4 linked regions of the Lepisosteus oculatus genome follow. The protein of the gene in region 1 purifies or fractionates together with the protein of each later gene. This does not show direct contact. Links are inferred from orthologs where the notes say so. Each region holds a gene or a part of one and is shown in the gene's direction. Other genes may lie near its edges. The genes, in order: CXXC-type zinc finger protein 1, setd1a, bod1 and ogt.1.

The links.
Region 2: the proteins of CXXC-type zinc finger protein 1 (region 1) and setd1a purify together in Homo sapiens (affinity purification with western blotting; 16 studies listed by BioGRID and IntAct, counting the BioPlex papers as one, with this or other methods). This does not show direct contact. The link is inferred for Lepisosteus oculatus from reciprocal best matches to the Homo sapiens genes CXXC1 and SETD1A.
Region 3: the proteins of CXXC-type zinc finger protein 1 (region 1) and bod1 purify together in Homo sapiens (affinity purification with mass spectrometry; 4 studies listed by BioGRID and IntAct, counting the BioPlex papers as one, with this or other methods). This does not show direct contact. The link is inferred for Lepisosteus oculatus from reciprocal best matches to the Homo sapiens genes CXXC1 and BOD1.
Region 4: the proteins of CXXC-type zinc finger protein 1 (region 1) and ogt.1 purify together in Homo sapiens (affinity purification with mass spectrometry; 3 studies listed by BioGRID and IntAct, with this or other methods). This does not show direct contact. The link is inferred for Lepisosteus oculatus from reciprocal best matches to the Homo sapiens genes CXXC1 and OGT.

Annotation. Positions count from the first base shown.
Region 1 is NC_090697.1:75,677,054-75,685,112, forward strand, and holds the start of CXXC-type zinc finger protein 1, read left to right. Parts: upstream 1-4,806; 5' UTR 4,807-5,015; coding exon 5,016-5,018; intron 5,019-5,706; coding exon 5,707-5,837; intron 5,838-7,175; coding exon 7,176-7,276; intron 7,277-7,812; coding exon 7,813-7,940; intron 7,941-8,059. UniProt on the Homo sapiens protein: Transcriptional activator that exhibits a unique DNA binding specificity for CpG unmethylated motifs with a preference for CpGG.
Region 2 is NC_090699.1:15,682,578-15,690,419, forward strand, and holds the start of setd1a (histone-lysine N-methyltransferase SETD1A), read left to right. Parts: upstream 1-4,540; 5' UTR 4,541-4,874; intron 4,875-7,242; 5' UTR 7,243-7,251; coding exon 7,252-7,389; intron 7,390-7,842. UniProt on the Homo sapiens protein: Histone methyltransferase that catalyzes methyl group transfer from S-adenosyl-L-methionine to the epsilon-amino group of 'Lys-4' of histone H3 (H3K4) via a non-processive mechanism.
Region 3 is NC_090706.1:27,681,057-27,688,659, forward strand, and holds the start of bod1 (biorientation of chromosomes in cell division protein 1), read left to right. Parts: upstream 1-4,353; 5' UTR 4,354-4,559; coding exon 4,560-4,697; intron 4,698-5,172; coding exon 5,173-5,297; intron 5,298-7,587; coding exon 7,588-7,603. UniProt on the Homo sapiens protein: Required for proper chromosome biorientation through the detection or correction of syntelic attachments in mitotic spindles.
Region 4 is NC_090703.1:46,135,168-46,143,105, reverse strand, and holds the start of ogt.1 (UDP-N-acetylglucosamine--peptide N-acetylglucosaminyltransferase 110 kDa subunit), read left to right. Parts: upstream 1-4,715; 5' UTR 4,716-5,081; coding exon 5,082-5,118; intron 5,119-5,695; exon of another isoform or gene 5,696-5,770; intron 5,771-5,943; exon of another isoform or gene 5,944-6,031; intron 6,032-7,642; coding exon 7,643-7,823; intron 7,824-7,938. UniProt on the Homo sapiens protein: Catalyzes the transfer of a single N-acetylglucosamine from UDP-GlcNAc to a serine or threonine residue in cytoplasmic and nuclear proteins resulting in their modification with a beta-linked N-acetylglucosamine (O-GlcNAc).

The DNA of each region.
Region 1 (8,059 bases):
AAAGGTACAAATCAGAGGAGCCCAGTTTCCTAATTGATCTAAGGATCTCTTCCAGGTGTTTTGAAAACCACCGGGGCCTCGGCTTTAACGACACGGCTGGGGAGTTTGTTCCCAACTCCCACAACCCTGTGTGTAAAGACGTCCTTCCTGGCCTCGCTTTCAAGTGCTCTTCTGCGTGTTTGCGGTTGATCGGTCATTTTTTTTACAGTACTCGGAGCAGAACAAGACAGCAATTCCGAACTCTGTCCGGGGGATGCAAGACACCGGTCGACCCCAGCTGTTAATCAAACGCTGGACCTTGTTCTTGTTTTGTTTTTCTTTTGCTGAGGTAACGAATCGATGTTAATAATTACGCTTTGCTGATTTGTTCGGGAATAAAAATCACCAAAAACCCCGTGCAAAAAAATAAAGTCACATGGTTGGAAACGCGGTCTTAACCTTGACTAAAACACTCGTTCACCACAAACTGTAGCAGTGTGTCAGCGTGCGAACTGCTCGTGGGGCTGCAGACTGGGCTTCGCTCAGGGTATAAACTTCTCCCCAGCAGCGCTGTATCCTTCTGCCCCGGGCTCGTCCGTTAATACAAATCACAGATACTGTCCATCTGGCCCCTGCGAGTTACCCTGACTGTGCGGCGAATTCCATTTCCGCACGCCTCCGGACGAGCAAGCCACTGTCTCGGGCCTGAAGTGTCGAAAAGCAGGTCAGTGGGGGTATCCCCCTGAAAAACGGTCATGCACCGCTGGTCACTCCCGTGCCCCCGTATTCTGCCAGCCAGACACCCCGGAAAATCGGATCTGTTCCCGCATCAGAAAATATCCCCGCTGTGAAAGAACCGGTACACCTGACAAAGACGCGGTGTACGCCTCTACATGGGACAGTGTTGTGTGGCTTATAGACTTATAGACAGAACTGGGAATAACAGCTGTAGTTAAACAACAACAACAACAACAACAACAACAACTGTGACGCGGTCCGGTCCGGGTCCCGTCCCGAACGGACCCGTACAGCAGCAGGGCTTCTCGGCGGTGCCGTTGACGGGTCGCGACAGAGGCCTGTTCCGGTGAGGCCGGTGGAAAGAGAAACAACACGTCTAGACCTCGACTCGTTTTACACCGGTCCTGATTCACAGGGAGAGCAAAAACTCCACCACCGAGACCAGCAGATTCCTCGTCGCCTACAGAGACCGGCGGGTCACACCGCTGCTAATGTAGTACCGTTAAACACCGGTGAGTCTCGGCCTTCTGCGCACCCAGGACCAGCTCCCTGAGGTCCTCCTCATTTCAGGACCGCTGAGGTAACAAAAAACGAATCAGTGGTAACGATTTGACATTCATCGAAGGTAATATTTTGTCATTAATTAAAGGTCAGATTTGAATAACATACCACTGATATCCTTCATGGCCCCTCCGACTCTAAGGTCACCGTGCGCTCGGAACCAGGAATGGAGAGACGTGCCATTTCTACACGAAATGACGAAACATGACAGGATTTTCTCCAAACACCCCCCCCCCCCCGGCAAGGCCGAGCGCACTGCCCGGGTCACAAGCTGCGACGTTGGAGACTACAGGCCGCTGCTGTTCACTGAAGAGGGCACTAACCGAGCGAGGGGGGCGCAGGGAGGCTGTTGGCACCCGGTGTAGTCCAGCCGCGTCCCTCCGAAAGGCGCGGGTAACACCGGGTTCGAGGTCCGTGTCGAGAAAAATGTCCCTGAGAGCGACACCCGAGCACAACCCGCGGAGACCCACATTCCGGGTCCCGAACGGACCGGCGCTGACCCCCCTGTCTCCGGGCAGCGGGAACCCCGCCGGGGAATTGATGACTCATTCTAGACAGTTAAGTAAGAACTAGTTTTTTTTTTCTCCTGAGAAAATTAACCGATTTAAGTGGGAATCGGCGACTCCCCGCTGAAAAGCACAAACCGAGAATCCCAATTTGTCCCCCAGGAACGCGACTGACTCAACCCCACGAGTTTTGACCCAACAGAACAAGCGTTTGTGGAAATCATTTTCTATTTACTCGTGTGCCAGGGTAGTATCGGGTCCCCGGGCTGTTCCTCCGGTGGTTAAGGCTCTATGGAAGATTTTAATAAGAAACCATATTCCTCTACACACAGGGAAGCTGGCATTTTAACGTGTTGCAGCATTTTCAGTTACAGCCGACGCTTAGGGCGAACATGTACAGTAAGTACGCCCGGAGGAAATAATGTTTTTTATTTTATTTTTAGATTTTCTTGAAGTGTCAGTTCCAGGCATACTACGTTCACTTTAAAAACTCAAAACGTTAAGCTAAACGACATTTTAAGAAAACAAACAACATATATAGAGATTGTATAAGAATGTATGTCTTCAATACTATAGATTTAAGGTCTATTTGTTTATGACTCTTTTGCTGATGATCCTATGACAAAACGCCCAAAGATTGTGTATCTCAAAAGGGGCTATATAAAATACAATTATTTAGTATCAAGTTATGATGCACAATTTACCACAGTCAAGGCTGACAAATATGACAGCTAAAATCTCTGTAATGTGTTTAATCTGTCGCGCGTTAAATCCGTAAAACATCACGATCTTACCTTAGCGTAATTAGAGCCAGTCTTAGACCGTGGAAGCGTCTAACAGCGGAGGAGAAAACAGGACGAATTGTGTTTCTTGAAAAACGAAGATTAAGGAATCTGAGCGGTCAGTGCCACGTCCGGTGTCCGCGCGGTTAGGCGCCAGATGAAAACCGTCCGAACAGGTTAACTGTTGTGTCCACTCCAGGCGGCAACCAGAACTTTTTACAGAGCCCGTCCCTCTCTCACACACACACTTCCACACACACTATCGCTCACACACACACACACTCTCTCGCACACACACACACAGACACATTCTCCGACTCCTCTCCCTCTCTCGCTCGGCGCTCAGATTTCAGATTCAAATTTAAACTGCGGCTGATTTCTCACGATCCGCTTTAAAGCACTGCTGATTTCTGCACGACACACAGCAAGGACTGTAGTCCATCATTTCGGAAAAGACAGCTTTCTGTTTTGAATCTTCGAATTCTATTTATTCATCTTGGTGGCTACAGGGTTACAGTAAAAAAACTAACAGTGGAATAACCCAGTTCGTAGGAATTATATACAAGACTGTATCTTCACTGCGGACTCAATTTGGAACTTTATGTGGGTCACAATTCTTGAACTGACGTAAAGGTGTTGTATTTACCGCTTGTACTAAATGTTCAGTAACCTACACATCGCGTAATGTAACAATATTTATTATAAATAAATATTAGTATTATAAATAAATACTATACATTTACAATTTACAGTAATATGTTGAACAGTCCTGTTACAATAGGGGCTACAGTCCCAGTACAGTAGAACAGTCCAGTTACAATAGGAGCTACAGTCCCAGTACAGTAGAACAGTCCTGTTACAATAGGGGCTACAGTCCCAGTACAGTAGAACAGTCCAGTTACAATAGGAGCTACAGTCCCAGTACAGTAGAACAGTCCAGTTACAATAGGGGCTACAGTCCCAGTACAGTAGAACAGTCTGTTACAATAGGAGCTACAGTCCCAGTACAGTAGAACAGTCCAGTTACAATAGGAGCTACAGTCCCAGTACAGTAGAACAGTCCTGTTACAATAGGAGCTACAGTCCCAGTACAGTAGAACAGTCCTGTTACAATAGGGGCTACAGTCCCAGTACAGTGGAACAGTCCTGTTACAGTAGGATCTACAGTCCCAGTACAGTAGAACAGTCTGTTACAATAGGGGCTACAGTCCCAGTACAGTAGAACAGTCTGTTACAATAGGGGCTACAGTCCCAGTGCAGTAGAACAGTCCTGTTACAATAGGAGCTACAGTCCCAGTACAGTAGAACAGTCCTGTTACACTAGGGGCTACAGTCCCAGTACAGTAGAACAGTCCTGTTACAATAGGGGCTACAGTCCCAGTACAGTAGAACAGTCCAGTTACAATAGGGGCTACAGTCCCAGTACAGTAGAACAGTCCTGTTACAATAGGGGCTACAGTCCCAGTACAGTAGAACAGTTCTGTTACAATAGGGGCTACAGTCCCAGTACAGTAGAACAGTCCTGTTACAGTAGGGGCTACAGTCCCAGTGCAGTAGAACAGTCCTGTTACAATAGGAGCTACAGTCCCAGTACAGTAGAACAGTCCTGTTACAGTAGGGGCTACAGTCCCAGTACAGGAGAACAGTCCTGTCACGGTAACAGAACAGTAGAATGGTCATACCATACACAAGAATAGTACAAACTGTTAAATACTTTCAGATGGAACTCCAATATGAAAAGGCGTCTTTGTATAAGCACACAAACAAGCAAGAAAATAAATCTAGAGCTGAGAAGCAGATTTTTAGATTTGCGTTGCATACTGGGATCCTAATAAAAAGGAAGAATGCTTATGATAATTATTCACCTTCCTGTCCTTCTGCTCATTAATGTGCTTTAGTCTACTCTGCACGCAATTAGCGTTTATGTTATGTGGTCATGGCCGCCTGCCGGCTGTCCCAGGCCAGTGTCCAGTCCGACAGCTCGGCCGAGCGGAGGCGACCAGGTGGCGCAGCCTAGCGCTCCCGCAGGCTCTGGTATCATACACCCTCCGGCCACTAGAGGGCGGTGTTTACCGCTGCCCATTCTTCATATAGAAACATAGAAACATGTTCATTCGTCATAATAGAAATCATAAACCACAGTCTGTAAAAAAAAACACATTTTTTTCTCCCCTTAGGAGTATATTCTGTTGATATAAGAGACACCAACGGTTCTCCAAACGAGCAGTCTGGCAATACGTCTGTGTGGGGAGACGGGTGGTTTGAACCGGAAGCGGAAGTCAGGAGGCTGTCGGGACAGCCCGTTTTGTGTTTATTTTGAGTGAAAGGGGGGGATTTTTGCGACGATTATTATTTTTTTATTGGTTATTCTTTACCTGCTAATAGCCTTACTTCATCATTCTTACTCTTTATCCGAAGAAGGAAGAGGCGGCCGTGCGTGTTTCCTGCGATGGTGAGGTGGTTGAGCTTCATAGTTTGAAACGATTCGTTTCTCTGTAGTTACAGCTGTGAAAAACACGTTTCTTTTTCCGCTCTTAAAGCTAATCTTTTTTTTTTACGTAAAACGACCAGGTCGCCTTTCTTCGTTAAATGTTAAATTGGAAAGTTTCAACCCGTCTTGAAAGTAGATCACAGCATGACCGCAACCGGGGAGTCCTTTCCTCTTGAAAATCTGTATTATACGTTAGTGCCCGTGAACGCATCGCTCATAGATTTGCATTTGGTCTCTGTTTTGTTTCACATTTAGAAAAAAGGTCGTGCTTTCGGATCAGATATTGTGTTCGGTTACTGTTGGCTGCTGTGATAGGCCAGTTGGAACGGTAGCATAGCAGTTGGAAGCGATATTTAGCTGAGCGACCGAACTGTTCACATTTAAATAACTGACAGACATTAGAAACAAAGTAATGTTAGCGCTTGTTTCGTGTGCAGTCAGACAGGTGGTGTGATGCTGTAGCCCTGTAATTGTTCACCCGTCACAGAACCGCGAGCAAAGAGCGCTGGTAGGCTTTCTGCTTTAGGGGGCTCTGGTTTGCTCATGGCTGACCGTTTGCAAGAGCACTGGCAGCCCTCTCCCTCGGTCTCACGGCGGTGAGCGGCCAGGGGAGTCCAGCGCGGTCACCTGTCCTCCTCTCTCCCTGCAGGACAGCGAGGTGTCGGATCTGGACCAGGCCCCCGGGGCCGAGAGCAGCATGGAGGGCGACAATGGGGAGAACGGAGAGAACGCGCCGGTTTACTGCATCTGCCGCAAGCCCGACATCAACTGTTTCATGATGTGAGAGCCCGCCGCCGCCCGCAGCTTCCTGCCTGCGCCCCAGCTCGTGGCCTCTGGGCGTCACCGCCCGACACTCTTGTCACCCACACAGCCTCGACGCACCCCTCCGCCCCTCACGCTGCACAGCCTTGACACAGCCCTCTGCCCCTCACGCTGCACAGACTGGACACACCCCTCTGCCCCTCACGCTGCACAGACTGGACACACCCCTCCGCCCCTCACGCTGCACAGCCCTGACACAGCCCTCCGCCCCTCACGCTGCACAGCCTCGACGCACCCCTCCGCCACTCACGCTGCACAGCCTCGACGCACCCCTCCGCCACTCACGCTGCACAGCCTCGACGCACCCCTCCGCCCCTCACGCTGCACAGCCTCGACGCACCCCTCTGCCACTCACGCTGCACAGCCTAGACAAAGCCTCCCTTTTTATTTTTCAATATCTTAGGAAGTCTAGAAGAAACATAAACTTGCGAGTCAATTTGTGTTGTTGTTGTTGTTGTTGTTAGTTGTGCTTGCTGAGATTGAGAATTCAAAATGGGCTTTGTTGGCGAGGTGTGTTACAAGGGTATTGTCAAAAGTTTTGAACAGCTATGGAACAGTTTATAACAGAATATTGGCCATGTGCACAGTGTTAGAGTGCAGGTCTGTACAGAGGTTTCCTGTACGACACAGCTTGGTACTGTGCACTGTGTCAGGCAGGGGTCTCCAAGCCTGGTCCTGGAGAGCCCCAGTCAAGTAGTCTTTTAGGTCTTTAGACTTTGGTAACATTAATGTAATAATTAATCAGTTAACAATACTGTGGTCCGTGGAGACTGAGAGAAACGTGATTTGGTCCTATATTATCTCAAAATGTCCTGCTCTATTCATTACTGTGAAATTTTGACTAATCTTGAGAAATGGGTGACTTAGCGGTGACCTATAGAGTCTGCTGGCCTGGGTGACCAGGGTTCGTCACCTCTGGTGTAAGGGTTTGAGCTCACATTTTTGTTTCTGACTGTTGCACTGGTGTTTTCTTCTCTTTTCTTTCTCCTGTGCATCTGGATTGCGTGTCTGCGTGTCCGTCTGTGTGTGTGTGATGGCTCTGTGTGTGCACGTGTGTCCGTCTGTGTGCGTGTGATGGCCCTGTGCATGCACGTGTATCCATCTGTGTGTGCCATGCGTGTGTGTGCACGCGTGTCCATCTGTGTACTTGTGATGGCCCTGTGTGTGCACACGTGTCCGTCTGTGTGCGTGTGATGGCTCTGTGCTTGCACACGTGTCCATCTGTGTGCGTGTGATGGCCCTGTGTGTGCATGCGTGTCCATCTGTGTGTGCCATGCGTGATCTCCTCATCTGCAGCGGCTGCGACCGCTGTAACGAGTGGTTCCATGGCAACTGCATCAACGTGACGGAGAAGATGGCCAAGGCGATCCGGGAGTGGTACTGCGGGAAGTGCCGGGGTGAGGACCTGCCTCTCCTCTCTCTGGGGGACTCTCCCTCGGGGAGCAGCCTCGAGGCTCAGGCGTGTCGGAGACCCTTGTGTGTAGTTCAGGTTCCCTGTGTTGTGAAGTCATGGGAAGGGACACGGCTGTTTTATCCAGGCTACAGAAAGTAATTTAGAAATCCGGGGCTCCAGGCTGGATGATTTTTTTAAAACGTTTTGGTTGTGTGTTACTGATTGTTCAGAAGACACTGTGGGGAAACAGACCTGTCTCGTATTGCACAGCAGGTTGGTCCATTCCGGGTTTTGCTGTGAGCTGCAGGCCGATCTCAGTGTGCGAACCGCACAGCCGGTGCCGAAAGGTAGACGTACGTTAACGTCATGGCGTACGAGCTCGTTCTTTCTGAGGTCACGGGCTGGAAGTGCAGCTGTTGCTGTAGGTCCTGGTGAAACCTGGACTGGATCACGCTGCTGTCACTGGTCAGCTCTCTTCTGCCTGACTGCCTGAAAGGAGGGGTGTCGGTCAGTCAGTGTGACCCTGTCTCCCCTCCTCAGAGAAGGACTCCTCCCTGGAGATCAAGTACCGGCTCAAGAAGAGCCGGGAGAAGGAGGCAGAGCTGGACCGGTTGGAGAAGCAGCGCGGCACTCCGGACTTCAAGACTGACCGGCGGCGGGGGTCAAGGGTCAGCGCACTCACGTCTCCTGTTTGTTTCCACTTGTTCGTTATGGATGAACCAGGTTACAGGTCTAACGTGCATGGACCGCTTAGCCTCTGTTGTCTTGCATCTCTTCTGTTAGATGA
Region 2 (7,842 bases), on another chromosome or scaffold:
CTGGACACGGTCTGAGCACCCCGCGGCCACAGCTGGACACGGTCTGAGCACCCCGCGGGCACAGCTGGACACGGTCTGAGCACCCCGCGGCCACAGCTGGACACGGTCTGAGCACCCCGCGGCCACAGCTGCCCCCCCGCGGCTCCTGGCGAGGGAGGGGGCTGGGGGGATGGGTGGAGGCGGAGGGAGGGTGAGCCAGGCGCTGTGTGAGGAAGAGGGTGGTTACATCACTTCCGGTTCAGCTCCGTGCAGGGAGCACGAATGCAGGGCTGTTGCCGGGGGACTGTGCTAGTAAAGGCATGCCACACGGGTTCGAATCCTAACCTTGTAACCTGCACCTCCCGACAGCCAGCCTGCCGGTGAAGCAGAGGAGCAGTTCTTTTAGGGATGCGGGCGCAAGATGGGTCACAGGCAAGAGGAGCCTGTTCGGGCCTTTTGGGTTGTTGATCCCAAAAGCCAGGGTATCGCCTTGACCAAGCTGTCCAGTACTGCTGTTCCACACTCCCGCCACCCTGTGTGTAAAGCAGAGCCTCCTGTTCTCAGTTTTTAATGCATTGACTGTAGTTTGAACCTTTGTCCGCTGCCGAGTTCTGAGGAAGCTCATTGGACCGACTCTGTCAGTGTCGTTGAGGATTGTGAGCATGTGCATCAGGTCCCATCACATCTTTATGGCAGTGAGAGGCATTACAGCCCAGCTGGGGCTGGAGATCCTCAACCCTTGTAGTGGGAGTCCTTATTCCACCAGCTGTAACCTGCAATTCGAACCCGGGCCCAATCTGAGTGCTTTGTGAGGAAGCCCGGCTTCTTATGGCGATTCATTGACGCGGCAGAGAGACTCAGCAGGACACAGGGTTTGCCATGACCCTGGGTCATTCTGCGTGGAGCCTGCGTGTTCCTCACAGACCTGAAGAAGGCTCCACAGCCTAAACGTTTTGCTTCATTTCTTTGCTTTTCAGCATGGAATGAACCTTCCCTGTTCCTGTGTTCCCCCCCCACGCCTGCTCTCCATCACTCGTTCCCAGTGTGCCCTGCACTGGCTACGAGACGCCGACACTGGAACAGGGGCCGCATTAGGGAGGGCGGTTCTTTAACGAGGGGGTCCACAAAGAAATTCATCATTTATATATCGCGCGGAACGAAAAATGTATCGTTGTATGATATCAGTGCGTACGATTCAATATATTATAAGTGGTTATACATTAGTGGATGGGGACAGCATGGGGGTGCAGTGGTGAGCGTTGCTGGGGCCCTGGGTTCAACTTTGGACCTGGAGTGCTGTCTGTGTGGAGTGTGCATGTTCTCCCTGTGTTGGCGTTGGTTTCCTGCAGGTGCTCCAGGGCCATCTAGTGGCCGCAGTGAGAAATGGCCAGTCCCAGGTTCCCCGTGCCCTCCCTGCCCTCTGGCCTGAGGGGGGGGGGTGGTCGAGGAGGCGTCGGGCTGCGAACCAGCTTGCAGGAAGAGGAAGGGGTCAAGGACAATTAGGTGGGCTGCGGGGGTCCCCACGACAGACGATCCTCTCGGTGGGTGGCGGCACCCCTGTCTGAGCCCCGAGCGTCACCCGGAGACGAACTCCTCGTTCCCACAGGGAGCGCCAGGCCTCGGGAGCTACCCCGCCTCCCTGTCTCTTTCCCTTTGTGTCCGGTCTTGTAAATATCCCCGGCGCTTTTTTCGTAATTAAATATTATATTTTGGAAATAGAAGGTGGCCGTGTGTCTCGTCTCTTCCTCGCCTGGGCCTGTTGGGGGCACACACTCCGCCTTCCCCCGAGACAGACACAACACTAGGCATGACACTGAGCAGGCTCAAACACTGCAGGGGCCGCCTCCTGCGTCACGCAGGGCCTGACGTAGACGCTCGTGGGGTATCAAAGTGTTGCTGGGAAGTTTAATTATGAGTGTGTGTTTTGGGGGGTGGGAGATTTTAAGTTCAGGAATGTTTAATGACTTTTCCAGTTTTACCCAGCTGGCCCCAGGCCCTGGTGCCGAGTCTGGAGGGGTCGTTATCTCTTAATTAACTTGCACAGTCCGAGTCAGCAGCAATTGAGAGCGGTGGAGGTCAGCAGTCGGGAGCTCAGGCGACGACACGCCTCCTCCTCCGGGCGTGACCGCTTCTCCGGGAGCAGGGATCGGGTATCCAGGACCCTGGCGGGTATTTTGGGATCAGAATTCCCCTCGCGCTGCTTCGGCCGTCGACTGAGCGCGCAGTGGGAGAGGAGGCGTCTCGAGGAGGCCGAGACCAGCTGATCCTGTTGTTATTATGGTACTCGGGATTAAAGCTGCTGTCCTACCAGGCAGAAACTGAAGGGGCCACTAATTCATCCGACCGTTTTCCGACTGCTTCCGATTCAGGGTCACGGGGGAGGTATAACCTAGACCTGCAAGGAGCATGTGCAAGGCAGAGAGCACCCAGAGGAGACCCATGAGAACACTGTGAGATCATGCAAACTCCACACAGACAGCACCCCAGGAGCTGAACCCAGGGCCCCGGTGCTGCAAGGCAGCAGCGCTCACCACTATACTAATGTGCCACTTATTTCAAATATTTGAATTATTCATACGAGTAAGCCAATATGTGGGTCAAAAGTTATATATATATATGCTTCTTTATCATATATATAGCTGAATACTCGTGATAATTTAATGTCCAGATGAAGGCTTGTAAGTTAGCAATGCAATATTCTAAATTTCAGTGTGCCAGGAAAGGACTGCAGCTGCTGTTGAGGTTGAATTTGATCATGTGGTGAATCATAGAGGCTTTTGAACTGCCAAATGATACAGAGACCGACTGCAACCCTTGTGACACTTGTGAGAGCACACTGGTGATCTGTGACACGATGATAGGCCTGGGCTTCGTGTACGTGTATGAAATACTATAAAGGTAAAACTCATGCTCAGGTGCCACATTCCACATTCACAGATGCCACTTAGCTTGCCAGTATGTCCACAGTTCCAGAGCCGGGACAGGGAGAAAGGCAAGGACGACAGCAGGAGGCAGGGCCTGGAGGGACTCCGTTTGTGCCAATCCAGCCCCAGCAACCACTTGCACAGATTGGAAAAGGACAATCAGCCTTTCAAAAGCGTTTGCAATATACTGTAGTAGAGGTTGTATGACTTGTCGGGAGTGTGTACTCATTGTAAGATGTCTATTGTGAAATAAAGTTTAGTTTGTTAGAAAGAAAATGTCTTTGGGCTGTGGGAGCAAACGGAAGCCACAGGAGGAAATCCACACGAACTCGAGGAGAACGTGCAAACTCCTCTCAGACAGCACCCCAGGGCTGGAACTGAAAGCAAGGCCCCAGCCCTGCGAGGCAGCGATGATGACCACTAGCACCGGTGTCACCCACAGCTCCCCCCTCTGGACTAGCAAGCGGATCGATAAAGGCATGAGCCGCGGAGACGCACAGGTCAGCTGCGGGGGACAGCCGACACTGTGGGAACGCCGTGCCTTTTTCATCGAGAAGAATATAGTTCACAAGCAGACGATGCTACGGCAGTAAATCCACTTTCTGTACACATTTATTACACCTAGTTTTACACGTACATCGCACACAGCAGTCCCAACGCTGATATTTTAAGATAAATTTAAACGGTTATGTACGGCACAGTTATTATCTGTCCATAATCCAAGTAAGAAAAGTAAAGAAAACTCGCCGGGCCTATGGGTGGACGATGACTGTTGCTCTTAACAGAAACCTGACTACAACCGAGTGCGTGAACCATCAGATTACTGCGATGGCGCTCAGAATCAACCGCCGACTATAGAGATCTAACCTGTGTTTTGTCTTTGTTCACTGGTCTTTTTGGATACCTTTTTCTCCCTTGTTAGTATGGGTTGATGTTAAATACAATTTTGAAGAAAAAAAAACTATAGCAACCTTCCGTCACCTCCGAAAGTAGGTGACTCCGGTTCAGGTTAAAATAGCGTTCAATGGTTATTAAAATACATGGATATATAGATAACACTGAGTCGTTATAGATGCTTCTGCATTAAATTCACTTTCAGACACAAAGACTGTTGTCTTGTTGCTGTGTTGCGACGGCGCGCCAACGATAGGAGGTTTAACTGCAGTTCATAGTATTCACATCGACTTATTTCTGTCTCGTATAATTCACACAAGGCGCTTCGTATAAAATAAAATGTTTAAATGGTTCCCGAAGCACTGAATTTCACACGTAGCGCTCAAATACGACAACACAGCAACGTGTAAAAACATTCAATCCCACTTCCGGCCTGTAACCACGCCACTTCTCCACAGCTAGCTCGCCATTACAGTCGGCAGTTTCCACAGGCATGCTACTGTTTTTAAAAAAGTATTATTAAAGCAAACGGTGGTGTTCTCACTCTTTTAGAACATAGCACTTCCATAACCGTCTCAATTTTATGGTAAAAAGTGTAAAAATGTAGGCCTATGCTTCTAAACAAAGGAATAATACAGGTCCTCTTTGCGTCTTTCCATTTGAGTTGTAGTGTTGAAGACTACGAATCAGCTGATGGGAATCTCTTGTTAGTTTATCTTTTGTTTGTGAGGGGGAGCGCGAGCTGTTTGCGCAGTTCCGATTGAGAACACTTAGTTCGAGATCGAAAACGGCAGATTCACCAAAACTGCTAACGCTAATAGGCAGAGAGAAGTAGTGGCGGAGTTCGCTCTTGTTGTTATTTATATTTATCACGCCTAACGAAGGCCGTAAACCGGACAAGAAAACATCTGTGTTTTGATAGAAAGCAAGGACTCTAGTGATTCCGTTTTTATTTTAATGTATTTTCCCTTCCCTGCCTTCTTGTGCACTGGTTAGCAGACAGACGTGTAGAAAGTGCGACTGCGGACACAGGGATGTAATTCGCAGTGACTGATGGAGACCAGGCGAGGTGTTCAGGTCAGTACGCGGCCGCCTCTCGGCTAATTTTTTATCTCCGTTTTCCGAAATAAAAAACCGCTTCCCGTTTATATTTCTGCTTGGGGGTCACATATCCGAGAATCGGAACATTAGCGACGCTCTTAGCGGCCGAAAAGGCGGGGAGTGGAGTGGAAGGGGTGGCGGTTTTTCGGGGTACGGCGCTCTGTGCGGCTCCCGTTCGGGTGAGGCCTGCGCCGGAGCCGCGGGCTGGGAGTTTGAAGCGAGCCGATTCCGGGAGCGAGGGCGCCGGCCTGGCAGAGGAGCCGAGGCCCAGTGGAGATGGGGGAGAGGCGGGAGGGTGGATGCGGGTGAGAGGACGGAGAAGGTAGGGCATCCCGTTGTTCGCTTCAATACCACCTTCATTCCCGGGATTGAACGCGTGCCATTATTTTCGGGGAAGTTTGTTGTTCTGTGAAGTCCCGCCCGTGACGGTGAGCGCCGAGTCGGGGTAGCGACAGCCCGAGCTCGGGGTCGACAGTTCTACTCCCCGGGCCGGTCGCACCGCCGGACACCCGGGCAGTCCCGGGCAGCACCGCGGGGTCCCACAGCCGGAGCCCCGGGGCGGGCTGACCGGGTCAAGGTGCTGGGTGTGAGGTACCCAGCGGCGGGTGATCTCCGCTTCATTTTCCCGCTGCCGGAGACTCCGCTCCAGCCCGGTTAGCGCAGCGAAGGCTCCCCGAGGAGCGCGTTAGTCAGTCCAGGGCCCGGGTGGCCCGCAGGCGAGGACCAGCGTGTTGCCGTCCCTGGTGTCCGGAAGCGGGAGACGGTGCGCTCCTCCGCGGGACACAACAACACGCTCGCAGGGGGCGGCGCGCCGGGCGATCCCCGGTCCCGCTGGGCGGACTTCCGGACAGGAGCGCACGGGCTTTATGTGCTCTTACCCCGGTACGTAACCAGTGAGGACGCGTGTACGTCCAGGTGTGTGCTTGACTGGCCAAAATATTAGGATCCCCCGGTGGAAGAAAGCGTCGGGCTGCAGGGCTTCAACTTGAAACTACAGGCCGAGCCCAGAGTGCGGCGCACGAAAGGGCGGTTCTTTTTTATTATGCTGTTTGGGTTAGTGGTGCCGGACGGGTGGTTCTGTTGTTATTGTGCAGTTTGGGTCAGTGTCAGACTGTACGTTCTGTTGTTATTGTGCAGTTTGGGTCAGTGTTGCACTGTTAAGTTCTGTTGTTATTGTGCAGTTTGGGTCAGTGTCAGACTGTTAAGTTCTGTTGTTATTGTGCGGTTTGGGTCAGTGTCGCACTGTTAAGTTCTGTTGTTATTGTGCAGTTTGGGTCAGTGGTGCTGGACCGGTGGTTCTATTGTTATTGTGCAGTTTGGGTCAATGGTGCCTGACTGCTGGTCCTGTTGTTACTTAGCTGTTTGGGTCGTGGTGTCAGACTGTAAGTTCTGTTGTTACTGTGCCGTTTTGGGTCGTGGTGTCGAACTGTAATTTCTGTTGTTACTGTGCTGTTTGGGTCGGTGCTGCTGGACCGGTAGTTCTGTTGTTATTATGCTATTTGGTCAGTGGTGCTGGGCGGGCCTATTGTTACTGTGCTGTTAGGGTCGTTGGTGCCGGTCGGGTAGTTCTGTTGTTAATCTACTTGTTGGGTCAATGGTGCCTGACTACTGGTCCTGTTACTTAGCTGTTTGGGTCGTGGTGTCGGACTGTAAGGTTTTTGTTATTGTGCTGTTTGGGTCGTGGTGCTGGACCTGTGGTTCTGTTCTTACTGTGCTTTTTGGATTGGTGGTGCCGGACGGGTAGTTCTGTTGTTATTGTGCTATTTGGTTGGCGGCGGTGGTGTGGGTGTGGTTGTGATTCCACGGGGAGTGGTGGGGTGGATGCGATACTGGGGGCAGTGTTGGTGGTGTGAGTGTGGTTGTGATGCCGGGGGTTTGGGTGTGATGGCGCGGGGAGCGCTGGTGTGGGTTTGATGCCAGGGGTGTGGGTGTGATACCGGGGAGCGCTGGTGTGGTAGTGATGCCGTGGGGAGCGCTGGTGTGATGCCGCGAGGAGCGCTGGTGTGGATGTGAAGCCGCGGGCGACGGTGGTGGTGGTGGTGACAGCATCAGTGTTATCCTGAATGGTGGTGATATCAGACGCCTTTCTGTTTGGGGAATTTTCTGTCACTTCTTCTGAGATATAGGAATGTGAGTTCTGTTGAGCCAGTTGGCGTAGGCAGGGCAGGGAGAACTGGAATGTTATTGGGTAAGACGGTTGCATGTGTTGAGCTTGTTGTTGATAATCGCTTCAGTGCTGCTCACAGTGAGCCTTGGGGGGACCAATGAGTTATGCTAATGTGTTACTAACCAGGGTCAGGGATTCCTCACTGAAGCATTGTTCCTCCCTCCCTGTGCTCAACAGTGAGTGAGTATGGATCCAGACAGCGGGGCAGACACACAGAGAGCCCTCAATGTCCAGTGGAGGAGCTACAAGCTGATTGTGGATCCAGCCTTGAAAAAGGTTTCACAGAAGATCTACAGATACGATGGAGTCCACTTCAGCGTGCCGGTTAGTGTCGCCCTTCCGGCGTTTACTGATGGTGTGTGAGAGGTGTCAGTGACGACCTGCTGGTGGCGTCAGTTTCTGTGTGTGTCAGTGACCATGTGGGTGGAAACCTGATGACAACAGGAGTTGAGTGTGTTAAAGTGACCGTTACGTTCCTACAACTCGGGGTTCAGGTGAGTGCTAATTTACCAGCAGCCATATCACCCTGCAACTCACAACTGGCAACCCACTGAAGCTAAGCAGGTGTGAGCCTGGTCAGTACCTGGATGGGAGACCTCCTGGGAAAAACTAAGGTTGCTGCTGGAAGAGGTGTTAGTGGGGCCAGCAGGGGGCGCTCACCCTGCGGTCCATGTGGATCCTAATGCCCCAGTATAGTGACGGGGACACTATACTGTAAACAGGCGCCGTCCTTCGGATGAGACGTAAAACCGAGGTCCTGACTCTCTGTGGTCATTA
Region 3 (7,603 bases), on another chromosome or scaffold:
GTAAGTGGTGATGTTCTCATAGACTGTATATGCACTTGTTGATCGGGATGACACATCAGCTCCTCTCTAAGTCTAGATTCTCAGCCATCATAGGCAAAATGAGAGAATTGTTCCAGCAGATTTTTATTCCTCTACTATAGTTCTTTGGACATCCTCCTTGTTAACCACCCCTTTAAAAATAATGTCAAAGGGTCAAAGGTCACAACAGGAAACATGGCTTTTCAGAATAAAAGCCAGAAGGATGCCACACAGCACTACGGACAAGAATCAGTTAACAGTGATAAGTTTGGCATCTACCTGGGAACTAGCTCTCTCACCTGCAGGCCTCTTGCTTTTTATTCTTCTGGATGTCGCCATGGCTCCTTTCTCTAGTTGCCTGGCAACAGGCCCTGGAAACTCAAGAGGCTGCTATTGACTTCATATAGGAAGTGACTTCCTGCTGATTCTTTTCAATTAAAGAATTTAGACCACAGTGTTAAATAAAAGCCCTCCTGCTGACTCTGAGCTCAGAGCTGACACACAGCCTCGATTACTTCAGTATCTCTCACCAGGCTGTATCCATTAATGATGTTTCAACTCCGCCACCGTTTCTGCCTTTTTTTGTGTACATGTATATCATAGTTGTGGTAACATTGAGCAGACACCTTTACGCAAGGCAGCTTTTGTTCAGAACAATGAACTGTAAGAGCCAAGAAACGGTGAAAGAGTTACATACTGCAGAGCAGCGGCAACAAAGTATTGTCAATTTCTTGCATTTATAAGCAAGAAATAACACAATTAAGTAACACAAAACCACTACTTGACACAAACATTCAAACAAGACAGGGATGACCAGGAACGAAAGGAACAAGCAGAGGTTAATTTCACACTGAAATGAAAAACCTTTTTGTGTGGAATCACCGTCTGCCTGTTGCGTAATAATGAAGCCTGAACAGCTGAAATCTCAGCAGGGCGTGGCTGGGAGGTTGTCAGAGAAATAGTCTCGGCTTTGTTTCCTAAGAACACCTATTAAATACAGATACGCTCTATCTCGCCTTGGCTATTGATCCCCAAGCACACACTGGTTTCACTGACCCTAAGTACCTCTGAATTTGGACTCCTCATGTTAAAGTAGACAAGCAAGTCCAGGATTATTGCCAGTCTGGGCCCATAACATTGAGCACTGTTTGTGGGCCACACAGAGTCCAGTCAGCTCAAGAGGCTCTGCCGTGGCCTTTTCAGGTTCACACAACAACAAGGGAAAAAAAAAACTACTAAACTACAACCACTATGCACATCCTTTCTATACCCTACTCAAGGCAAATTACACTGATGTGAGAACGTATGGAATCCAGTTCAAACATCATCACCACTAATCCAACTAATACCTGGTGTGGCTATTGTCCTATTGGTGTGGCTATTGGTCCTGACTCTCTGTGGTCATTAAAAATCCCAGGGCGTTTCTCGAAAAGAGTAGGGGTGTAACCCCGGCGTCCTGGCCAAATTTCCCATTGGCCCTTACCAATCATGGCCTCCTAATAATCCCCATCTATGAATTGGCTTCATCACTCTGCTCTCCTCCCCACTGATAGCTGATGTGTGGTGAGCGTTCTGGCGCACTATGGCTGCCGTCGCATCATCCAGGTGGATGCTGCACATTGGTGGTGGAGGGGAGTCCCCATTACCTGTAAAGCGCTTTGAGTAGAGTGTCCAGAAAAAGCGCTATATAAGTGTAAGCAATTATTATTATTATTATTATTATTATTATTATTATTATTATTATTATTATTATTATTATTGACAACATTCAGTGGTTATCTTGGGGTACCCCTGAGGGTGTGAGACATGCCTAATTTTATCATGTGTTTTTCATTTTACTGCAAAATGTAAATATTTCATTCTAAAAAAGTGTACAATTTTACACTGAAAATTAAAACAAATATATGATTTTATCTCTTTTACTCTACGGTTCTGGTGTATCTTAGGTTTAAAGAACTGACCTGATTCAACCACTGAATTAGCTCCCTCTAGTGGAACACTGGCTGTAACTATAGACGTAACTTAACTGTGGCCACTAATGTGTTGAAGTAAGCTCTGTATAGTACGTGGCTACCAGGGGAGTCAAAGGGATGCAAAGATCAGGCCAAGAGGCAGGAAAGAAAAGAAGTACTAATCACCAGGTAACAGGATGAGAAGGCCTGGAGAAATGTGGAGGCACAGTAACACAGGACAACAGACAAGGGTGAGGATATTAAATCAAATGCAGGCAGATATTACTGTAGACAGTAAACGTGCACAGTGAATGATCACACCTCATACTAATTTTCTCATTTAAATTGCATCCTGAATTACAGTTTAGGATGCGGCTTTAAAACAAACACATGCAAAGAGGATTGTGTAAGCCCAGGCATTCAGATTTCACAGTAGAACGGTTTGTCAGGATTTCCATTTCCTGCTGGTATACCTTTAACAGTTTCAAAAGACACAATCATTCACTCACTGGAGCAGGTTTCTCAATGTCACACTTAATATGCAGGAGCTACACAGAATAATCCAGCATACCTATGCTTCAGTAATTGCCTGCTCAGCAACGCAGGCCTAATTTAACTCCAGTAAGATCAGCCAGGCAAGCTTTCTGCCGTGAGGACGTGATTCATTTTCCCTGTAGCCTGAGTTAAAAGACACCCTGTAAGTATTTAAACAGATAGTTGCGCACACCGTTCCTTCTAAAATGCACCATCAAAGGGGCTCAATAACACTGACCATCACACTGGCCCTTCAGTTTGGTCTGTCACTGTGAGGTTTTGCCATGGAAACTGGAACAAGTTTCTTTAACCACTGAGACGAGGTCAGTGTGAGAAGAAGAGTATGAAGTTGCTGAGTCTTTGAAAGAGTTTCATTCTGAAGCATTCAGCAACAACAAGTTAAAACGGGTTACAACAGTACAACAATATTGCCAGCAGCCATATCACTCTGCAACTCACAACTGACAGCCCACTGTAGCTAAGCAGGTGTGAGCCTGGTCAGTACCTGGATGGGAGACCTCCTGGGAAAAACTAAGGCTGCTGCTGGAAGAGGTGTTAGTGGGGCCAGCAGGGGGTGCTCACCCTGTGGTTCATGTGGGTCCTAATGCCCCAGTATGGTGATGGGGACACTATACTGTAAACGGGCGCCGTCCTCGGATGAGATGTAACCCGACTCCGACTCTCTGTGGTCATTAAAAAATCCCAGGGCGTTCCTCAAAAAAAAGAGTAGGGGTGTAACCCCGGCGTCCTGGCCAAATTTCCCATTGGCCCTTACCAATCATGGCTTCCTTATAATCCCCATCTATGAATTGGCTTCATCACTCTGCTCTCCTCCCCACTGATAGCTGACGTGTGGTGAGCGTTCTGGCGCACTATGGCTGCTGTCGCATCATCCAGGTGGATGCTGCACATTGGTGGTGGTGGCCATTACCTGTAAAGCGCTTTGAGTGGAGTGCCCAGAAAAAGCGCTATATAAGTGTAAGCAATTATTAATTATTATTATAGTACACCGTTCGGCTCTGTATAGGCTACCGCAATACTTTTTGGACCACACAGTTATTTAATTCAGCACTCCAAATCAAGAGAAGGCCTTCCATCGTAGATTTTTCCAGGGTATTTGATACAATTGATAATTGCCAGCTCCTTCAGGCTCCAGCACCCTTCAGGATTGTGCAGCTTCCCTGACTGCCACTTATCTTGAATGAAGAGAGCAAATAGTGAATTTTAGAGGAATAATTTTCCCACCTCAGCCACTTGTAGCAGTGGGTCCATAAGATGGAGGCCAATCACCTTTTCGTGTTTTGCACAAACACGGTGGACAATGCACTGCCTGCTCGGCAGTTACATACGCTGCTGAAGGCACACCGACTGAATTCCTGCGTGACTCGTTACGTGTCCAGACACAAGCCGCTCAAGATGCAGTAGATAATGAAAAGCTTAATTGTCTCTCACTTCCTGCAAACAAGACTAATGGTAATAAGGAAGGAAGTTTAGGAAGGAAGGGCTCAGACTTACTCCCAACACCTCTTACTGTTAAAGACTAAATGCTGGTGTGTGTTTATATTTTTAAACGTCTTGGAAGATAATTGTTTTTTTGACCACACATTGGACCATTATGATACTTAAAAATAAATGAAAGTAAAACCACGGGTTTCCTATCGTTAGGCTTGGCCAACCTTTGGGGAATCTCACTGGACGTTCTCCTCCAAAAACAGTTTTATACGAGACCATACTGCACTGCTAGAGGACCCAAGCAGAGGAAAAATACATTACCCAAACGCCCCTAAAAACGGAAGTGAACCTCAGCCATTGCGCTCTGTGCGGCTTGGGACACGTAGTTCTTCCATCGACGGCCTTCCGTTTTTAGCAGATGATGCCAAACTACTGATCCCAGACTGCAGTTCAGTCATTGTTTTTCTTTCCTTTGTTAACCTTCGCCGATAGAGAAAGAGCGAAGTATTGCGAGATAAGTTTTTTTTCCTGTTGTATGTGTGTGAAAGTTACTGTACTTGTCTGAGCATTTGTTATTTTCGGATCGGCGGCCACGCCAACTCGATGGCGGAGAGCGGTGCCGGTGCAGCGAGCCTGCCGCCTGGAGACCCGCAGCTCATAAACCAGATTGTGGAGCACTTGAAGAACCGGGGCCTGTTCGACGAGTTCCGCAGAGACTGCCTGGCAGACGTGGACACGAAGGTGGGCTCGGATTTGTCTAAAGTTTGATTTACTTCACGGCCTGTTTACTGCCGACTCGCAGCAGGCTTTGAGTAAAATGAAAATCCTCGACTTTCGTTATTGTGATTTTAGACTTCTCAGATCCGGCGGTATCAGTGAATAGAGTCTGCAGATAGCGGTTTTTGAGAATTTATTGAGCTGACGCCAGTATTCTGACGCTTTTTTACGTTGAAAAGCGGCCAGCAAAGTGTAAAACGCTTTCAGCTCGACGGAGGCCAAAATCAGTCTTGAGCAGGATACAAAAAAAAATGCTAAACGAAAGGAAATTTGCAGGTTCCAGGAATTATTGCAACACAAGAATTAACAGAAACTTTCGGGCGACTTTAAACTTTATCGGTTTCATATTAGGTGCCTGTGATTCAAAGGAGGAATGGCGGTGGAAACCGAGAAATTGACCTGTTGTGTGTGTGTGTGTTTTTAACCCCTGTGCCTCTAGCCCGCCTATCAGAACCTGCGGCAGAAGGTGGACAACTTCGTAGCCAATCACTTGAACAGCCAGGAGTGGAATCCGGCCATCAACAAGAACCAAGTGCGCAATGGCCTGAGACAGAGTGTGGTCCAGTGAGTTCCTTCCTCCAGTAACCCCAGCCTGCGTGGTGTGCGGGGTGATTTTCCAGTTGCTCGCGTGGCAAGAGACTGGGAAAGATAAGTGAGAAGATGTCATGTTTTTCACTTCAGTTTAAAGGTCAGCTAGTGACCATTCATTTGGGGTGAGGGAGGAGAAGAAAGCCATTTTGCAGAGGAGCAGTGGGTGTATCCCAGCTGATGATCCGCGTCTGGGTTAAATGTAGAACGGATCTTGTGAGGCGGGTTTCAAAATAGTGAGTTGGCGGCACTCTTTTTTTTCCCTTTGAGGTCGGATTTTATTCTCGGCTCAGTTCCTAAGGGGAGAAAAGGCTTTCAAAGTTATGTCCTCAGCCTCCGCTCAGTTCAGAATTGGTAGTAGCAAGATCAGAGGACACAAGTGGAATCTGCTGGGAGGTGCATTTAAAACCAGCAACAGGATGCACTTCTTTACCCAAAGGGTGGTGGGAGTGTGGAACAGGCTACTCAAACATGTTGTTGAAGCCAATTCCTTGGTTTCTCTGCAGAAACTGCTGGAATAGATGCTTGGATCAATTAGGTACTATCAACCAATAGAACTAGGAGGAACAAAAGGCCACCTCTTGTTTGTAACTTGTCATGTTCAGGAGGGTACTGCAGAATGCAACTGCTCTTTCACTCCCTCTTTCCACCATCCGAGCCAGAATTGCCTCCTGTGAGAGCTGTGTGCTGCTTTAAGGATCTGATCATGTTACATTCTCCAGCTCAATATCGTATTAAAAAAAATATGATTTGTAGTAAAAATGCAATCATTAATCATCAGACTGGAAATATTAACCCTTATGGAATACAAGCTACACCCTGCTGTGGCCCAACATATTATTCTGTGGGGGTTCCTAATAGTCAGTGTAGAAGTTTAATTAAGAATGGTCTTGGTAAGAAATTTAATTAAGCAGTTTATCCTCTCTTCCTTTCTTCAGTTAGCACCTTTTAATTGACAAAACCGCAATCATTTTATGTCTGTTAAGGTATTCCCTTTTTTCTTTTAAAAAAAAACTTTAACAAAAAAACACAGTTTTGTCTCACAGTAGCCAGAAGCAGTACTGTTCTGTATTTCAGTTATGTCTGCCAATGCAGTACATTGACAGAGATCATTGATTATTCGACGACCGGTAATCTTGGTTCTTGTATTTTCTGGCTGTCATGGCTGACCTGGAGAGAGTGGCGTGTAATTTTGCTGTTTGCTGGAAATCCGCGCTGAAGGCAGTGTCAGGCGAGCGGTGTGGCACCACGTTGGGCTGTGCTAGCGAGCAGTGCATGGGCTTTATGTAACAATCTGAACCACAAACACGTGATTCCCTCGCTCGGTCCGCTGTTTTGGGAAGTAACTCCAGCAGCAGACCAAATAAATTGTATTAATGCTGACCTTATTTCACAATCATTATATTTCCAGACTTGCACCTTACTTGTACACTTTAAAGTAAATTGCAGGATGTGAAACAATCATTTCTTTCTCACTGTAACCAAGCTAAATATACTGTGCTTTGCATTAGACAAGCTGAAGTAATGCATACTGTACAGTGCTGTTTTTGCAGTACTGTACTTTGTGTGTGTGTGTGTACTCTTATTTTTATAGTTCAGGTGGGTAGCTGCGTCGGCATGCGTAGGCTGCAAAGGAACAAGTAATAGGTTTATTCCATGCTGAAAAGAAAAGAAAGGAAACACAACGTTTCGGCTGTGGAACCTTCTTCGGGTGTGTCGGTCTTCTTCACACTCCCTACAATATTTCTAACATTTGTCTACAGTTAAAATCAAAAGACTAAAAAAAACATGCACAGCACCCCAAAGCACAGTGTTCTTAACGAAAGTGAAAAGATAATCTCCTAAAAAAAATGACCCGATTATCCATCATTTTTGAAAATCCTGTGACCCCTTCCCTCTTTGGGGGAGGGGGAATCAGATAATCGATGGGCTGCTGCGCGTCTGGAGCGCCCTAGTATTCGTTGGGGGGGGGGGGGAGGGGTCCGAATTTGCAAGCTGCGGCCGCCTCTTCCCACAAGCCCACTCAGTCCACGTCCGCGCTTGCTAGCGCCCCCGCCTTGATTGTGCGAGCTCGTGCGTGGGTGTGTGAGCGCCCGCATCCCAGCGGCGGCACCCTGCTGCGCTCCAGCACGTGGCAGGGGATCGCTCTGCCCCCGCGCTAATCCGGCCTGACAGCCTGAGAGACCCGCTTGTGTTCTGAGCTCTGAACTCACTAATTGCCGCGGCAATTGATCAATAATACAGTGCGTGTCTGTGTTCGGAGCAGGTCAGGCATGCTGGAG
Region 4 (7,938 bases), on another chromosome or scaffold:
TCCTTTAAAAATGCTTAATTTCCTTAAATCAAATGCATCATTCATGCTGGTAGTTTATAGAGGTTTTCTGGAAATGATTTAAATTTTCCTGTTCACACGACAAAGGTTAATAATATCCCCCCCCCCTTTGGCCCTGGCCCGTGTGAAACCAATCCTTCACCCTGACCAGACAGGACACAATGGCACTTCCTGCCCTAAGTAGCCAATGTTGTCACGAGTAGCATAAAAACCACAAGGCTGTTTACAGGAAAAACAAGATGTCTTAAAGGGTTTAAGCGGGGACTTTGAATTTCTATTCCTCAAGGAATTCCTCAACTCCTGTGTCAGACGGAGGGTTCTCCTACAACAGCAGCATGTTTGAGTTTGAAAAGGCTCACTTCCTTCAGGTTCCTCCTTGAGCTCAGGCCTGAAGGGAGAACCAACGTCCAGAGAATATCCTTGGCCTAGACTGGGAGTTTGAACACAGACGCACTAACCCACAGTGCCCCTCTCATTCTGTCAATTGGACAACATCAGGTGAATACCTGTGCAGGGTAAGTAAAGTGGAATCAGAACGCTGTTCAAGCTCTCTTATAAGGAAGCTGTCATTTTGGACAGGAGGGCTTGTTGACAGTGACTCCAGCATGCCCCCTAGTGGCTGCCATGTGATGTACACCACTAAGGGTTTCAGCCTATCCACAACAACAGAGCAGGTGTCAATGGGGTAGGCAGGCACTACACCCAACCAGAATTACCTCCACCCTTTGATGTGGTTGAAAGGGGACTTTTTCCCCCCATGAAACAGACTGATCAATTAAACAGATTTGTGGTCCATCTACAACACAGACGTACAGCGCACGCAGATGCACTGTACGGGACCATGAAAAACAGGCTGTAGTAAGATACAGTGGATTGTATTAACAGAAGGGTAGGAATATTCCTTGTGGATAAACTGGCCAGGTGACCTCTGACCCCCAGAGAGAGAGAGAGAGAGAGAAACCAGGGCATGTCCCACAAAACAACACCAGTAGACTCTCGCCTGGACTACTGCCCAGCTGAGCCCAGAGCCTGTGGCATTGTACTGCGGGGAAAAGAGGGGGGCTCGTTCAGTCCACTGTGCCCCAAAAAAGCCCCAGGGGGGTGGAGAGAGAGAGAGAGAGACCACCATAGGTGACCCTGAGCTCAGGAACCACCCCTCAAAACTCTGAAAAATGGTGTTAAATTTGACAAAACCCTGGGAAGTAAAACTATACCTGCAAGTAAAAACAAGTATCTCCGGATCTATATATAGTCAGTCCTGCTGTTGCCTACCTGGAAAATTGTACCGGAGCATGCAGGCCCCGACCACCAGACTCGGAGACAGTTTTTACCCCCACACTGTCAAACTCCCAGCCTCTCGCCTAACATCTGAACCCTTACAGGGCCTTCTCTCTAGATCAAAACTCAAACGCACAACGAAATCTACCTCTACCTCACGTGTCAAGACGTTTACTCCCCAGAATTGTGTATCCTTTATTTCATTCTGTCGGCAACAGTTGTGCAAAATCGGACGTCAACGTTGCCCGTTGCCTCGGTCTCTTTTCTTGCACCTTTGTCTTGTGGTTTGCACCACTCACCGTCCGAGAGCCCGCTAAATAGCGTTTCGTCCTACCATATACCCGTGGAGGAGGATAACGACAATGAGCTCGAACTTTTGAAGAGGAGTCATTGTGGCTTAACTGGAACGTGTAAACCTGTGGCAGAAAGACCCTGCGGCTCCGGTCTGTCCGGTCCGGACCGGGCCAGGCTGCTGAAGTGCAGAGGGGCTCTCCGGGGAGCCAGCGCCCTCTGAAAGCGGCGGTGTTGACAGACATTCACAGAGGCCGAAGGCCAGGCTGGCCCTCCTCTCCTTCTCCCAATCCGTGGGGCTCTTCTCGCCTCCCGCGCCCCAGCCCCTGCGTGCGGGAGCTGGGAACAACCCGCAGACACAACACAAAGCCGGGGGCTGCCCTCCCCCTCGCAGGCCTGCCCTGCGGTTGCTCACGGGGAAAGGCCAGCAGGGGCTTCAGCAGCCGGGAGACGGGCGACGTCATCGCAGAGACCAAGCCTGACGGCACGCCGAGATCCCCGGCCCCCCCTTACCTGCTGAGCTCGCGCTTACCTGCTGTGGTCGCTAGTAAAACCCGGAACGGCTCCAACAGCCATGCAATGGGATTGCTGATGCTGTCTCTTGGTTCCACTCTATTCCGAATTGGGCCAGCAAGGACAAGGTCTGTGGGGTAGAGGGACTGGGAATATTTAGGGAGGATGAGGGGGGGGACAGAGGGCATGGAGAGAGGACAGGGCATTTCAGGGTACCACAGCAGGCCTAACCTCTCCCCAAATTAAAATACACTGTGCTCAGCTGACCGGGGGGGCATCCGGGTGGCTGGGGGTTAATGGTGACCGTGGCGACTCTCCTCTCGCCTGGGCCGCCATTCACGGTCGCCGGGGGCAACGGCCCGTCTCCCAGCGGGAGAGGAAGGAATGCGGGGGCAAGCTCATCACGCTGAGACCGGGGGGGGGGGGGGGGGGGTTCAGTCCGAACGCAGAACAGCAGGGGAACAGGAGCTGCACCGGAGGAGGATGACGAGAGAGGTGAGGGAGCAGGGACAGAGGAAGAAGACACAGAAAGAGAGGCTAATGAAGGAGAACGGGGAGGTGGGAGAGGGAGTGTGTTCTCTCTCCTGCTGGAGCTAGGGACCCCAACTCTTTTCTGGGAAAAATAAACACCGAGACGGTGTGGGGGGGAGGGGGATGCCCTAACTCTCAGACTTCTCGGCCCCGTGTTTATGAGGAGACATCTTTACTCAAAGAAGAGTGATCCTGAGGACTCCTATAAAAAAAAAAAGGAGGGTCGAGAGTAATGAAATGCATGAATCCAAACAGAACAGGCAAGACAGCCTGAGAAGCCCTCTCTTGGTTGTAAACATTTTGATATGAAATGGAGCAACAACAACAAAAAAAAAAAAGATTAAACTGTCATAATGTGAAGGTTTTTCACCAATTCGACTAGTGACCTCGTGTGGCGAACACGCGACACTACCGATTAGAGCTGCAGACGGATACTGTTCAGATTACAATTCCCACATCCGATGACCTAACCTGGAAGACCGTCGTGGTCTCAGGTTTTAATAATAATAATAGCTTACACTTATATAGCGCTTTTCTGGACACTCCACTCAAAGCGCTTTACAGGTAATGGGGACTCCCCTCCACCACCACCAATGTGCAGCATCCACCTGGATGATGCGACGGCAGCCATAGTGCGCCAGAACGCTCCCCACACATCAGCTATATATCAGTTTTCTGAGTGTCTTTAGAACGGCAACACTTGAGAAGCTAAATGTGTCCAGTTGACGAGCTGTTTTACGTTGTTAAAAGCAGAGTTTTAATGAAACAGAACTGGACACTGGTCCTCCGGGAACAGGATTGGGCAGACATGACCTGACCGTGTGTAGATCATTAACCATTAGGATGTTGGGAGGTAGAACTTCTGTGTTGGCGTAGATACTTACATTTTCCGGCACATCGCCTTTTCCCAAATTGTAACTGCTGTTAAGCTTTGAAATGAAGTCGGCAATAAAAATAAAAGGTATCCAACACATCACGAGTAGGGTGTGTAGACAGTCTCACCCGCCAGGGGGCGCGCCATAGGCACGCTTTGCGGCTCAGAGACGCAAGTGCAGATTGAAAGAGGAACCTGGAAGCTGGTTTTGTGATTTTAAGCCCCGGAGCAAGAGAAGACCATCCTCATTAAATAAAGACACTTATTTGATCAATAATGCATTGAGAATCAAAGCCTTAACATTTAAACGGTAGATTTCACTAGACGGGCTTGTCTGGAACACCACAACAGCGTCTACTGCGGCTCTGTCCCGGTGCGGCGGGCTGTGAACGTGTTAAAAATGAAATCGTCCGAAGATGAACTCGAACACTACTTGTCCTAACAAGACACAAACGAGATAGTTGTTGCTGGGTGTACATTAGGACACGATTCTGTTGGAATTCCCATATCCCAGTATGTCACCAGTTCTGCAAAGGAACAGGTAAAGGTTTACTCCATGCTGAAAAGAGAAGAAAGAAAACAACGTTTCGGCTGTGAGGAATTATTTGCTACGAACGCTAAAAGACCCTTTGGTTGGTCCTCGCTGTATTTGTGAAGTTTATGTACAGAACTAAATACAGGATTCAGTCGAAAAAAATAGACATACACTGGCATATTTTTCGACATCTCGAAAGCGTTTCCCTGGGCCTTTTTATTATGAATTGACATTGGTGCCAAAAAAAATACTTGAAAATTTTTTGCGTGATTTTCTGGAAGAAGACATCATTTGCGATCTCCGCCCAGTATGTATATTTATTTAGACTAAGAACAGTTCCATAAAACCCAATTAGCATATCCTGTTCAGTACGAGATACGGCTTTGTGGCTCCCCACGTGCCGGCTGGCCCACCCATTGCCGCATTGCTGCCGCGCATCGGTACACAGCCCTGCCTAGTTCCTAGACACAGCGGTCTCTGGTATTGACACATCCGCGAAGGGGGAATTTTTCCATCCGCTTCAAACCGAGAGAAACTTCTCGTTCCCCTCCCACAAACATCTGTTATTACGTAGCGTTAGACATTTAAGGCTCGACGCTGCCTCCCGTTGTCCCGCTGTTTCGTTTTTCTGTGGGTCCTCCGTAGGGGGTCTATTTGTACCAGTTGAAGTAGTCCCGGTCGCAGCCGCCATTTCGGGATTTAGAACAGCCGCTTTGTTGTCGACGCGGTTGTTGGTCTATGCAAAGAAGTTTACAAATATAAAAGAGCACCTTTTAAAAATTGCGATCAGTCAGATTTAAAAAAATCGAACGCTCGATATTTATTTTTTTTAAATCGGGAAGAGATATCAAACATTTGACTGAGTCAACGTGTGTTATTTTAGGTTTGTAGTTGACGAGCTCACCGGCATTACTGATCGATACGCACGGCGAATTCGCGGCACGGGTCGTCAATTTTAAATTTTTTTTTTTTTGAGAAGAAACTAAAATCCAAAGCATTTTTAACAGCGATTTTTGTTCCGATTTCAAAAGACTTGTGAAGATGGCGACTTCAGTTGGAAACGTGGCTGACAGCACAGGTAAATACGGCTTCTGTCGTTTGCTTGCTCAATTAAATATTAACTTGAGATTGAATGAACAGCAAAGTTTAGTTTGGTCTTCTCCTAAACTAGCCTCATACGACTGGAGAGTAGGTAAAAGACGAGATGGAATAATTTTTTGGACATGAAGCGGTTGCTTTGTGTTCGAATCCCTTTTAAATTCGACTTGTATGGGGATTAAATTTACAAACTAGTAATATACCACTCCCGAAACCGGGGGGGTATTGATACGAGAATGGATGTTCATGAAACCAGAACAGGGGCTGCATTGTGTAATTGGACATTTCTTCATTGCGAGATGCACAAAACAGTGAAAATGATTCCGACTCGCACAGCCCTCTGACATAGGTCGAAGCAGAGTTTAGGGGGGGAAAATGAATGCAGTTATGATAAAGTCCACTTGAAACTGTGGTATTTGTATTTCTAAAAGGCATTGCAGTACAGCGGCTTTTAACCTTACTAAACAGTATGGCCAGAACAATCTGTAAAAAAAACAAACCCGGAGAGGCCTGCTTGTTTAACTAGCTGGCTAAACCTCGCTTGTGTGTGCGAGTACCTGCAAACGGAGCGCTGACGTCATCTCTGCCGGACAGCTCGCTGGACTGCGGCCTCTGCGCTGTTGCAGAACCACACGATACGAAGAAGCGTGGAGACACGCCAGGGCCAGTTTGTCGTTAATCTGCTTGTGGGCACCGTGCACCTCGCGTCCGGCAGCCCAGTTGAGCCGGCCCTTTTCACCCACGAGTTCGCTTAACATAACGTTTTGGCGGGTTTAGACAAACCAGGGACCGTCTAGTAACTCACCGAGCTTGCATAGCGCAGAAGCGTGTGTTTCGAGCGTCTTGTTTTCTTTTTACTGAAAGGCGCTTAAAGTAGCGAGACGTCCCTCCCAATCGTCCTTTGTCTCGGGTATTATACGCACGTTAATTCGTCCAGATCGGATCGTCCCTGAAGTGCTGGTGTGGCTCATTTTCTCTAGATCTCTTTAAATCTCCAGCACTTAATTGGGTCTAAATAGTTGATTTAGGTAATTAAGAGGTGGAACAAAACAGCCAGATTTCGTTTTTTACAGGTTTAGGTCACATCACGCTCAGAATAGGCGCTATGCACTGAGCTCTGCAGCATAATATGATTAATTTGAACTCTTGAATTGTTTTTACTTCATAATCATGGTGGAAGTTGCCTTCTTGTGCAGGTAACCCACGATCTCCTACCTTTGAGCAGATTTAAATTGTGAGGTTTAAGGATTCGTTTAAGTTATGCGCTGAGTTGGAAACCAGCAGCAGTGTGATTCTGGGGGTCCTGTACTGTGTAACATTAGTGGAGGTGTACGTCTTTTGTACAGCTACTGAAGTAATATTTAATAGCTAACGAGTACATTAAATCACACTACTATGTTGGAAAGATGAAGAATTCTTTTATATTCATGTAGACCGCACAAGTTAGGTGGTTTCTCATTCAGTTTTCAGAATTTACTTAAATGACCTGTTCATGTTCATATCCCTCTGGTACCTGTTGGTGTGCATCTATTGTCCCAGATAATGAATTAATTACTTAATTACCCGTGTTGAGTTCAGTGCAGCAGCTGTTGTAGTTAATTACAAAGTATGCACTCTGTATGACTGAGTATAACCATGTATTCCTGAGCTGTTTAGGTTCTGCAAAGGTGTGGACTGCAGTCCATCTGGCTTGTACTGAATAGAGCAAACAAGGAATCACTCACCATCTGTGTAAACTCCATATACCACAGTAGCAAAGGGCTTCTTCTGTGTGCTTACCCTCTGTTGTCAATATCATTTGTTCACTGTATTGTCATCATTTCATTATCGGTATACATAATATATTTCCATTCTCATTTTTGGGTCATTTTATCCTCAACCTTATTTTGTTAATATGTGCAAATCTCTGATGTAATGTATTAAAGTTGATCCAGGGTGTAAGATGACAAGGTGGTATAGTGCTAACAGCATTTCAGGTAATTTGACAAAACCTGTGAAATTGGCAACCGTTAAACATTTTCTGGGGACTGTGTTTTGCTTCTCATATTAAAATTTACTTCTGATTGAAGTGCTGTGTACAATTTGTGAAGAAGAATGAGGTTTAATGGAAACCAAATTTGAGTTTCAGCTCCATTAGTACTTTCTAAAGGCAACAACATAAAATTGTGCCATAAAACGGCCTTGATGTAAAAAAAAAAAAAAAAAGTTGGGTAGTTTCATGGATTGTTCCAACTGGGCAAAATGTGTTTGAGCATGATATAGCTGTGCAGGTAAGACATTGGATAACATTAAAGTTGTCCAGATCACTGCTGTTCTATGTTTCAGAACATTTCATCCTCATTTTAAGTTTTAACACCCTGTTTTACTGAATGTTCTACATTTAACCTTTTGCTTTTTTATTTAGATTCTTTGTTTTCATGTTTGATTTTTTTTTTCTCCATTTGTTCTAACGTGTTGTTTTCCCCTCCTCCCCCCCCCGGGTTGTGTTGGTGACTCTGCTCCAGAACCGACAAAACGTATGCTTTCCTTCCAAGGGTTGGCAGAGCTGGCGCACCGGGAGTACCAGTCCGGTGACTTTGAGGCGGCCGAGCGCCACTGCATGCAGCTGTGGCGGCAGGAGCCGGACAACACCGGCGTGCTCCTGCTGCTCTCCTCAATCCACTTCCAGTGCCGCCGGCTGGATAGGTAAGGGCAGGGGCCCCAGTGCAGGCTGGGAGAAGCACGGGACGGCACCTGTCCAGTTCTGGTCCTGGGGGGGGGGGCTGGTGCGACACCTTAACCCCGGTTTTATCTCGTTAAC